Neodiprion lecontei: one gene and its partners. Each later gene encodes a partner of the first gene's protein in a complex. Links are inferred from orthologs where the notes say so. Each region holds a gene or a part of one and is shown on either strand. Other genes may lie near its edges.

What was found.
Region 2: WD repeat-containing protein 20 (region 1) and WD repeat-containing protein 48 share a complex: the UniProt entries of both Drosophila melanogaster proteins name them as parts of the usp12-46 deubiquitylase complex. The link is inferred for Neodiprion lecontei from reciprocal best matches to the Drosophila melanogaster genes CG6420 and CG9062.
Region 3: WD repeat-containing protein 20 (region 1) and ubiquitin carboxyl-terminal hydrolase 46 share a complex: the UniProt entries of both Drosophila melanogaster proteins name them as parts of the usp12-46 deubiquitylase complex. The link is inferred for Neodiprion lecontei from reciprocal best matches to the Drosophila melanogaster genes CG6420 and Usp12-46.

Annotation. Positions count from the first base shown.
Region 1 is NC_060266.1:565,648-569,403, forward strand, and holds the start of WD repeat-containing protein 20, read left to right. Parts: upstream 1-898; 5' UTR 899-1,397; coding exon 1,398-1,667; intron 1,668-2,107; coding exon 2,108-2,302; intron 2,303-2,920; coding exon 2,921-3,756. Other genes in the region: U3 small nucleolar RNA-associated protein 25 homolog, read right to left, coding at 1-435. UniProt on the Drosophila melanogaster protein: Regulatory component of the Usp12-46 deubiquitylase complex.
Region 2 is NC_060264.1:15,797,114-15,800,869, reverse strand, and holds the start of WD repeat-containing protein 48, read left to right. Parts: upstream 1-1,614; 5' UTR 1,615-1,754; coding exon 1,755-1,802; intron 1,803-2,001; coding exon 2,002-2,218; intron 2,219-2,307; coding exon 2,308-2,520; intron 2,521-3,756. UniProt on the Drosophila melanogaster protein: Regulatory component of the Usp12-46 deubiquitylase complex. activates deubiquitination by increasing the catalytic turnover without increasing the affinity of deubiquitinating enzymes for the substrate.
Region 3 is NC_060265.1:2,718,084-2,721,839, reverse strand, and holds ubiquitin carboxyl-terminal hydrolase 46, read left to right. Parts: upstream 1-811; 5' UTR 812-1,131; coding exon 1,132-1,134; intron 1,135-1,304; coding exon 1,305-1,460; intron 1,461-1,638; coding exon 1,639-1,855; intron 1,856-1,950; coding exon 1,951-2,031; intron 2,032-2,117; coding exon 2,118-2,410; intron 2,411-2,513; coding exon 2,514-2,651; intron 2,652-2,721; coding exon 2,722-2,865; intron 2,866-2,943; coding exon 2,944-3,051; 3' UTR 3,052-3,695; downstream 3,696-3,756. Other genes in the region: lipoyl synthase, mitochondrial, read right to left, coding at 1-249, 346-408. UniProt on the Drosophila melanogaster protein: Catalytic component of the Usp12-46 deubiquitylase complex.

The DNA of each region.
Region 1 (3,756 bases):
GACATGTTCAGCGTCGCTAGCCTCGGAAGTGACGTGATCTACGCCCGAGTTTTTCGTCTTGAAAAGATTTTCTTCTTCGACGGAAGATTTCACCTCGGCTTCGTCGTCAGGCTCGGATTCAGACTCTGACTCACAATCGGAGTCAATGACAGGTTGCCTCTTAGTTTCAGCACCACCGATAGCTGAAAGCAACATTTTTAACGGATCCTCTCGTTCCTCTTCCGAACTCTCAGCCTCAAGTTCCAACTGTTTGCTCCTCTCCGCCTCTAATTTTCGCCTCCTATTTTCAATCTCTTCGTTCTTGGCATCACGTTCCTTGACATACGAGGCTTCCCTGATATTGAATTTACATTTTTTCACCTTAGGCTTATGCTCGAAACGTTTATCAAATTTTCGTCGATTCCCTCCGCGAGTCGGTTTTTTCCCACGAACCATTGTCAACCGTCCCACTTTCAATATCGCCAGCAATAATTCAATTCAAATGAACACGGCCTATCGACAACCAAAAACTGAACGCTTGCATTGGCAAGCACATGGTTTTCAGGTTAGGTTCCGTTGAGACAGCAGCACTGCGAACGAGGCGGCGGAGAAGGTTGGCACCAATGGATACCAAACATAGCAGACGACAAAGAGCGGGGAGCGTCGCCTTATTTGAAAACGAAATTGACACAGCGTATACGTTGCGGCATCTCCTCGAATGCACAGCGATCTCCGCGAAGCGAGGAAAGATTCGAGAATTTCACGGAGAATGATCCTTGTAAAAGTTATTGACGGAGCTGGTCTTGTCGATTGATGAATCGGACGAAACAGTTTTTTCCGAGCAGCTGCGATATTCCTGTCGACTAGGATGCGGCCAGAAGGAGGTGGTCGGTCATTACGAAACGGGCGAGTGGTACGATCAGTATCGTTCGAGCGACAGCGGCTGCTCGTTGACGCGACGAGGGACGGTTAAACGGTCGTCAACATGTGTGACAGGAAGAAGGAAGGAGCGATTAAATCAATTAGTAATTCAACCATCTGTTGAGAAAATATCCGGTTGCAGAGCGATATTATGTAGGATTGCCCGGTGTTGGCAGAGTGTCGGTCGGCTGGGGTGTGCGCGCGCACCAACAACACTGGAGCGAGCCGCGACGATCAGCTCGCAGACAATTTCGCTGCGGGTTCGGATCTTGTACTCGGGACTCGGCGATTCCGCGATATTGCATGGTGGTGGTGGTGATGGTGATGGTGGTGGTGGTGGTGTTGTTAAGAAAACAGTAACCACACTCTCGTCGTCGTTCGATCGAAGAGCCGGGATTGGTATAATCGCGGATCAATCGACGGTTAACTAAAATAGGAAAGGAAACACCCATTTCCTCGATTCTCATGAACTCCACCGTCGTTTCTCTAGTGGTAAGATGGCGGTGCAGCTCGATGGAGGGGGGAAGGACGACTTGAAAACACAATTTGTCACGCGAGAAGGAACGTACAAACTGATGACCCTCTCGGAGTACTCCCGACCTAACAGGGTGGGCTACACCAACAGCCAGGGCAGCGCCTCGGTCAGGGTGTCCTTCGTCACATTGCCCGATCCAGCCGATCCCACGGGAGCCCAGGGCCTCGGCGACCGCATGTGCTTCAACTTTGGCAAAGAATTATACGTATACGTTTACCGTGGCGTCAAGAAGGTACCTCCTCTTCTGCCACCTCGTTAAACCTGCCCTATTATCCCTGCGACTCTTTCGGCGCTAACTTAACGATACATAACCTCAAACAGCCCCCCTCCCCCCTCCGCCTCGTCGTTCCGACTCCATCTTCGCAACCACCACCACCACAACTCTCCAACCTCGTCATATTCTTCGCATTTCTACTTCACTTCGACTTTATCTATGTTACATTTACATTTACGTTCACTTTTAGTTCATCCTATGCTTTGTTGGCCTGTGTTATGCTGGTGAAAAAATTGATCAATGATAACACTAATAGAAACATGCAAACTTTTGTCAGGTTTCCTAATCTTGGCACACAGCTACGATTGCTTGGTTCTGAAATACAAATTCATTTTATAAGAGCTTAGGAACCGTTTTCTGAATAATTCTCATTCAAAATCTATCTCAAAGTATAATAGCAACTGTTTCAGGCTGTGGATCTCAACAAACCTGTTGACAAAAAGCTCTACAAAGGAACAAATCCAACCTGCCATAACTTCAACCAAACTACAGCCACTGCAGACAGCGCGCCACTGCTCGTCGGATTTTCCACAGGACAGATTCAGCTCATAGATCCAATTAAAAAGGAGCTTAGCAAACTTTACAATGAAGAGGTATGCATAACAGATCAATTCAAATCAAAAGCAAAAATCCATCCTATCCTGATGAGCAATATTCATTTCAATAACTGGGCAGCCAAAGCTAGGCACATTCTACGAGTAAAGGCTAGCTAAGGGCTCTTTGTCAGGCTTATTGCTGATTGCTGAATGACTGAGATACAGCACCGTTATTTTGCCGGCACGTGATAACCAGGCAATTAGCAACAGACACGTAATATGCTATCTGTCGCGACAAGTGAGAGTTTTTTTTGCTTTATTATCTGCCACAGATGGCTCCGCGTAACCCTACATCATTCAAGGTTGGCAGTACTGTTGTAACGCAACTATAACTTGATGAAATAATTAAACAGGCATTACATACTGTGTTATGCAATACTCCGCTTATCTCTCCGATCACTGACAATGCGCCAAGATACTAAGATCTCTGCGTATATTAAAGCTGTAATCTATTCGTATTTATTAGCTATGTTGTTATTCTCTACCAGTTGTAAAACCCTTTGACGAATAGATATGGCAAGGACTCGAGTTATTTAATTTACTGGGAAGATGTTGACATTAGTTGAAAGATAAACGCGACAAAGAATAATCAGCAACTGATGTTTGTAATTTCAGAGGCTAATCGACAAGAGTAAAGTGACCTGCATCAAATGGGTTCCGGGATCGAGCAATCTATTCCTGGTTTCGCATAGCTCTGGCCAACTGTACCTGTACAACGAAGAGCTGCTTTGTGGAACGACACCGCCTCATTATCAGCCGTTCAAATCAGGGGATGGCTATGCGATTCACACATGCAAAACAAAGTCCACAAGAAACCCCCTGTACCGATGGGTGATCGGCGCTGAGGGATGCTGTATAAATGAATTTGCATTCAGTCCCTGTGGCTCTAATTTGGCTGTGGTATCCCAGGATGGCTTCCTACGAGTTTTTCACTACGATACGATGGAACTAGTGGGATCGGCGAGGAGCTACTTTGGAGGATTCTTGTGCGTCTGTTGGTCACCGGATGGACGATACGTCGTAGTAGGAGGAGAAGATGATCTGGTGACGATATGGAGCTTCAATGAGAAAAGAGTCGTGGCCAGGGGCCAGGGTCATCACAGTTGGGTCAGTGTGGTCGCGTTCGATCCCTACACAACGTCCTACGGGGATCACGATCCAGATTTCAGTGGTTCCGACGACGAATCCATGCCTCACACTAATCACAATAATCACTTTCATGAGAAGCCCAACAGATTGTCGACAGTCTCCCAAGGTATTCATTCCAATAGAAATTCGTGCGGGTCGGAGCTAAGGGTGTCCGGAGGAACCTGCTACAGGCTGGGAAGTGTCTCCCAGGACACTCAACTCTGTCTATGGGATATAACCGAAGACGTTCTTCGGCCGCCAGTCAGTGCCAAGCAAAGGACGTCGACCGCAGGTTCGGGGACATTTTCGTCATCGGGAACATT
Region 2 (3,756 bases), on another chromosome or scaffold:
GTTTTATAGTGTGTAAATATGTAGAATTGCATATGTGTTATAATTAATTACTATCATTATTCACCTGGAGTACAATAGTGGGACATAGTTGCTATTTATTTAATATTAAATCTAATACTAGGATTGCGCTGCTGCGAATATTCTTAGGTGTTCGTGTTATAACAATCTTAAGAGATTTAGGGTATTTAACAATTTGATAATTCGTAGTTTTGGAGCTGGTTTACATATGTGCTTTTGTATAATCCTCTTCTGTAATTGTTAATTCTTATATTGATATAGATCGGCTTGAAAAGTATTAGAGCATTGTTCTTATGTTTGTTGGTTGTCTGTTACTAGGCGTTGCCACGTATACATCTTTGAGTTAATTCCTTGGTGTCGTACAATACCTGTAAGGAGCTAGGGATATGTTTTCTTACGTTTTACCTCAAAACTGGTACAAGCCTTGTTTACCTAAAAGGGTTGATTGTTATTGTATTGATACGTTAATTGTAATTTTGTTTGGTTGTTTCGCTTTACAAGATAATCCCATTAGTTGATTCATCTACAATCGTTTCGTCGTTAAGCTTCGTAATATGTTCTCCAGATGAGGCTCTATATGGCTCCACATTGGAGATCAGCATTACCTTCAAAACGCTGCACACGTTACCTACAATACGGCGTTACGGTGGAAAGTATAATTCATGACGGATATTTGGCATTCACGGTTTTGAATGTTTTGCAGTCTCTGGTGTTATGGATTATTGCAGCAGTGCATCTATCTTTATATAATATCGGTTATACATTTATCTATGGTTTCACAGTCTTCTACTCTCCAGATTATACGGTATAGCGTAAGTTGCATATAGTGTAGGTATCAGCTCAAAATGTGCAAATGGCATTGTCGAGTGTTTTATAATAATTGGATATAATGGTGTTAGTTAATCATAGTGTTAATATGATAATGATATATAATAACGTATAATAATATTATAGCTCTTTGTAGTGCGAACTACATCTCGTAACATGGTTTTTAAGCCTTGATTAGTGAATTTCATAGTTATTTCTATCTAGGGATATTCCAAATAGTTAGACGGTTGTTTTAATACCTTACGGTTACAAGATTGTTGTACGTCGAGTTTGGTTAGTTAATAAAAATGATAAATAATAATAACAATAATCGATAAAACATACGGACGTTCCGGTCGGATGTTACAGTACAGAGCATAAAATAAGTCTAGTCCATATAAATTTACACTGATCTCACGTAGGTATCCAATTATGACGTCACGCCACATCCTTCGCAATGACAGGGCGTTCCTTTCCGCCGGCTATTTTGTTTTATTCATTTTTTTTCAACAAATACAATTCTAAAATCCATTTCTACGTTTTAATTTTTACTTAAATTACATAATGTTAATAATATAGTAATGATCTGATAAAATTTTTTATTATCAGACAACCCTATTCATTTTCGCGATTCAATTTTGAGTCTATCTCGTAATTTGTCCAGAATTGACTGCTAGGACGTCACTTCTGATTGCTTATGAGCGCCTTTCTGGTGACTTGTTGAACCCCGTCGCTTTTCGGTGGTCACTTCTTTAGTTGAAAATCCATACGACATACTTTTCCTTGCCTTTACACTGCGTAGTTTATGCTGATCGTGAGTGGTGAAACGCGATCTAAGCTGAATTCGGTATTTCTCTTCCTATTTTATTAAAAATCGGACCTCTACGGTTTTCGATGTCTTCAAAAAGTGCTTAGGCCAAGTCTGGACAATGGCAGCACACAAGACAGGCGGCCAAAGCGCCCGGAAGAAAGTCCAGGTGAGTACGGATCAGTCCGTATAACCAAAGCTTAGTGAAAACGTAAACAAATCATCATACGAGATGTTAACATGACAGGTTACATTTATCATATATTTGTATGTAACTTCTTGTCCTACACCATCATTGCTCCTCGCAATGATGTTATTGCGTTACATTGCTCATTATCGAATCTTCCTTTCCTCTGCAACGGTAAAAGGTGTCTATGGTAATTAGAGACGAAGTTGAACGTAAGCATAGAGCTGGCGTAAACTCACTGCAGTATGATCCAGTATCGCACAGACTCTATTCGGCAGGAAGAGACAGTATAATTCGAATATGGAACTGCAAAAATATAAAAGAACCGTACATCCAGTCAATGGAACATCATACTGACTGGGTGAACGACATTGTGTCGTGTTGCGGTGGAAAGAATTGTAAGTCAAAGTGACTTCTTGCCACGTTGTCTTTCTTCTTTGATGCTTTCAAATTCTTTACTCTCATTTTGCTTTATCAATTTTCTCAGTGATATCAGCTAGTTCGGACACAACAGTCAAAGTTTGGAATGCTCACAAAGGCTTTTGTATGTCTACATTGCGTACGCATAAAGATTATGTGAAAGCGCTTGCTTATGCCAAGGACAGAGAACAGGTGGCCAGTGCCGGATTGGACAGAGCAATATTCCTATGGGATGTCAACACTCTCACTGCTCTCACTGCTAGCAACAATACAGTAACCAGTAAGTATGATCACTTGAATCTCGCTCATAGTTCTGCGATTGATGCAACATCTGGCTGCCACAATATTTTTAGGAATATTATGTTTTTAATCTTTATCATTGGTCTTCAAGTTCAAATAAATTAAAATGAACTGAAAGTATTATTTTCGAATTTGCTGGAATCAAAAATAAGTTCAAAAGAACATAAGGTTAAAATTTGTAATGTTAATATAACCACGCATACACAGGAAACCTGACGTCTGTAATGTCAGCAGAACCATGTTGGAAAAATCGATTCTTACAGATACCATAACTAGGTGCTCTTTAGGTGCTAATTAGGTGTCCTATTCAAAAATTAGATGCTCAATTCTATTACCGATAAGAAAGATTCTTCACTCTGAGCTGCTGACCCAATGTCATGCTAGTAGCGCATAGTCTGAAAATGTCCAATATTGGTTATGGTTTTCCATTGTTATGGTAGTCTATAAATGACTGCGCAAGAGTTAGGTGCTCTTTAACTCGAATTCATTGTCTTAAAAAATGTATTTACACTTCAAAAAATCGTTAAATAATAGCGGTAGAATAAAAATGGTTGACTCAGGAATTAGGTGCTTTTTAGGTGCTGATTGCCTGATTTAAGAGCTTTTAAATACCAGTGGTGACAATTTCTGATTTTCAATCCTTAGTAAAAAACAAAAAAAAAAAAAACCATCCTTAAAATTCATTGCAGCGATTTCTTTTTTATGGCAAAATGTTCAGCGATCTAAGAGCTAACCGGACATGAATGATTTGATTTTTGAGATACTGCCCCCTAATAACCCCCTGTTCCAATTTGTTTCCGATCATCAGAAAACTACCCTTCAAATTCATCGCAGCGAATTTTTTTTTTACAGCAACTCACACAACATGCCAGTACTCATCGTTTTGAATTTTGTTTTCTCCTCTCATCGTGATTGGGCGTGGATATATCCATAGGGGTTGTTTCTACGACATTTTTTCCAATGTATTTCAGGAGTTCCTAATTAGTTCCTAATTCTTACATGATCAAAATGATTAAAAAAAATTTTTTTTCTGTGGCGGGGCTAGCTTTTCGGTAAGCTGATCCCCCCACTTTACAAAATGGATTTTCTCGTAACAGAAACGAGCTCAAAAATCGCGGTTTGCGGCATTGTAGAACGCATAAATAGCTCCTTAATCTATGATTTAAAAAAAATTTTTGGAGCATGTGGAGAGGGCAGCTTTTTGGAGGTGTAATCT
Region 3 (3,756 bases), on another chromosome or scaffold:
ACGTGCCTCTTCGCATACAGTGCTCAGGTTTAATTGACGAAGTTGAGATTTTAGCTTGCTGTAATTAGCCCCCATAGGTATTTCGGTCTTCAACCATGGTGGTAGTCGGAGTCGGTTTTTTTCCCCTTTTTCCAGTTTCAGCTTTCCTTCATAATTACTCGTAGTATCTGAAACAAAGTCGTGGAGCGTCGGCCCGGTTGCCAATTTGACAGTGAACTCGTTTTTGGTGCTCTCCTTGCATTTCGCACACTGCAAAATTATGGAATTAAGGTTTAGGTACAGACTGCTGGCAGTTAAGTAGGAAACTCAGCACACAGCCGTGGTGCAGTATCAACATCTACTTACGCTTGTGTGGAGATTGAGAGCCCCGGGATTTCCCAAGTATAAAATACGCACTGATCTCAACATTTTGACTGTCAGACTGTCTTCGGGTTGTGTTACATATTTTTGCGAATCGTCTAATCGAGAGTATTGCGATGAAATTATAAATAACCTTGAATGACACTACGCACTTGATTCTATGTATCTATGTGTGCAGCTCTAACCCCTAATACCTATCTGACAGCAATTGAACGGCGATGCTTTCGTAACTGATCGTAATAGTGTCTGCTATTTGAACATTGATAATATAAAATAGGAATACCACCGTAGATTAAAAAGTAGATGACTGAAACATTGCTCGGATATCCGTCGAGTTGTTTAGTAATTTTTCCAGTGTTTCAGGAACACGGAATAATCAAATCTACATGTAGTCGCATGTAATACATACATAATAATACGTACAATTCATACACACATTAATGGATACGTATGGGCATGCATACACGCGAGCTTTATCCTGCATGTTGCAATGAAGTAGTAAAATTTTTTCTTTTAAATTAGTATAAAAGTGTAATTAATTTATTTAAACAATTGAGGTGAAAGTGTTGATCCATTAATCCTCCTCCCTGTATCACACCGTATGAAAGTTTTTACTACGTTAAAACTCACTCTCCTGTTGTGATTGACAATGGTTCGGTCGGTCGTTTAATTGATATAAACGTGCAAATTGTTATACGATGGGGCTTAAGCTAACGGTGGAAGCTGTACTTAGCTCTTGTCAACATCCAGTTGATACTATCAAATCATAAAATGGTACGTTCTCCACAGAAAACCGTGTTCATACGATAAATCGCCGAAGATAACCTCGTCTTATGTTGTCTTTAGCTAACCAAAGCTAGTTTTAATTCTATTCTTTCCATTATTTGATACTGCTAATTTGTACACAATAATCTTAACTGTTGTATGGAATTTTGATACAATAGTGCGTTAACAATGGAAGAAATATGTTACTAAGAATGAGTCTCCGCCTTGTTTTCAATCTTCACATCCAATTCCAGGGTGCAAATATATCGCAGCTAGAAAGAGACATCGGCTCTGATCAGTTCCCTCCCAATGAGCATTACTTTGGATTAGTAAACGTGAGTATATCTCCAATAAGAAGGAATTGCTGAAATTTTTCTACTGGCTAAGTTTATCTATTTTCCACGGGTTGTATTATACTAGCTACTTCACCATGGTTAATTTTTTCTTTCTACTTGTTACAATCCATTTACAATCTATATATGGACTAAAGGATGGACTTTTTGTGTTGGACAGTTTGGTAACACGTGCTACAGCAATTCTGTATTACAAGCTTTGTACTTCTGTCGTCCATTCAGAGAGAAAGTCTTGGAATACAAAGCAAGAAATAAAAGAACCAAAGAAACCTTATTAACATGCTTGGCAGATCTTTTCTACAGTATTGCGACACAGAAGAAAAAAGTTGGCTCCATTGCCCCAAAAAAATTTATCGCTAGACTAAGAAAAGAAAAAGGTAGGTCGTTTTTTTTTTGGCAAGTTTTCATGGATGTGGTCATGAATGTATAGACGGTTGCATGTCTGAATCCAATTTTTTTTCCCTCGTTTCAGAGGAATTCGACAACTATATGCAACAAGATGCTCATGAGTTTCTCAATTTTCTCATTAATCACATTAACGAAATCATACTTGGTGGGTTTAATTCTGTAGAAGTATTGAAGCTACTTGTTCTAATTTAGGAATTGAAACCATAAGCAATATTTACCATTCACTCACAGCTGAAAGAAACCAAAGCAGACCTGCAGGCGGAAAAGGTGGGGCAGGAGATGCAGGATCTCCGCCAGAGCCGACATGGGTTCACGAAATTTTCCAGGGCATTTTGACTTCAGAAACTCGTTGTCTCAATTGTGAAACTGTTTCCAGTAAAGATGAAGACTTTTTTGATCTACAAGTTGATGTAGATCAGAACACTTCTATCACACATTGTCTGAAATGCTTCTCTAATACAGAAACATTATGCAGTGACAACAAATTCAAATGTGATCATTGCAGTAGCTACCAGGAGGCTCAGGTAAAAAAAAAAGTTACGCTGTATGTAAGCTTTAAGAACTTACGTGGAATAATAAACTCATTTTATAATGATACCACTTTTTTCAAACTGTTTTTTTTTACAGAAACGTATGAGGGTGAAGAAGCTGCCAATGATATTAGCGTTGCATTTAAAAAGGTTTAAATACGTAGAACAATACAACAGACACATCAAAGTTTCTCATAGAGTGGTCTTCCCATTAGAGTTGAGACTCTTCAACACTGTAAGTCGATTTATCTTTTACTTAAGACTTCCTTGCAATGCAATTGTTGGTGTCTGATCATCATTTTCAGAGTGATGATGCTGTGAATCCAGATCGATTGTACGACCTGGTAGCAGTTGTTATACATTGTGGTAGCGGTCCTAATAGAGGTCATTACATTTCTATTGTAAAAAGTCATGGATTTTGGCTACTTTTTGATGATGACATGGTTGATGTAAGTTCAAGGAATAATAACAAAACATCTCTTAGAGCCATATTGAGTTGAAGTAAATGAACCTATTGTTTGTCCCAGAAAATAGATGCAGCGACAATAGAAGATTTTTACGGCTTGACGTCAGATATTCAAAAGAGTTCCGAAACTGGCTACATTTTATTCTATCAATCAAGGGACTGTAGCTAGAAGTTGACTTATACTTTAGCAATTTAACATTTTAATACGAGTGATGATGATGATGATCCATGGGACTTTGCGAATGTTTAAATAGCATGCTGACGAATCGGTCGTTTACCTTAATATGCTATCAGATTTTTCAATTATTTTCTTGAACGTGTTCTACGCGCATTGGTATTTAAACAGTCGAAAAGAAGATATACTAGATGCATGCAAGCTATGATCACGTATGTGAAATCGATATGAGTATTCATCTATGGCAGACAAGCAATCAGAAAATGTTAATGTAAAGTTTATTTATTTTAATTACCTATGTTGTACTACGTAGAACTAGTCGAAACTGAAAATATGTAAGAGCTAAATGGAATCTTTTATTTAAAATACTCTTACCTTGGTTCTTATTATGTCAGTGATATTTAAAATTAACATGTTACAGGCACTATTATAGTACATTATTATTATTATTATTATTCGAATGTAAAAATATATGACTGATAATAAAAAATATTGCTATAGGCTTAGATAATTTTATTACACACCTTAACTTTACAAGTTTTGTTTTCATGCCCAAACAAGTCATATTTTCCTTTAGTCGAATACTGAGAATCTCAAAATAGACATTCCCACATATTTTGACAGATTGCCTTGATCAACTTGTCTGCGAAAATTGGGTGCGGATTGAATGAGTTGCAAGAAATCTTCAATGTCATATCA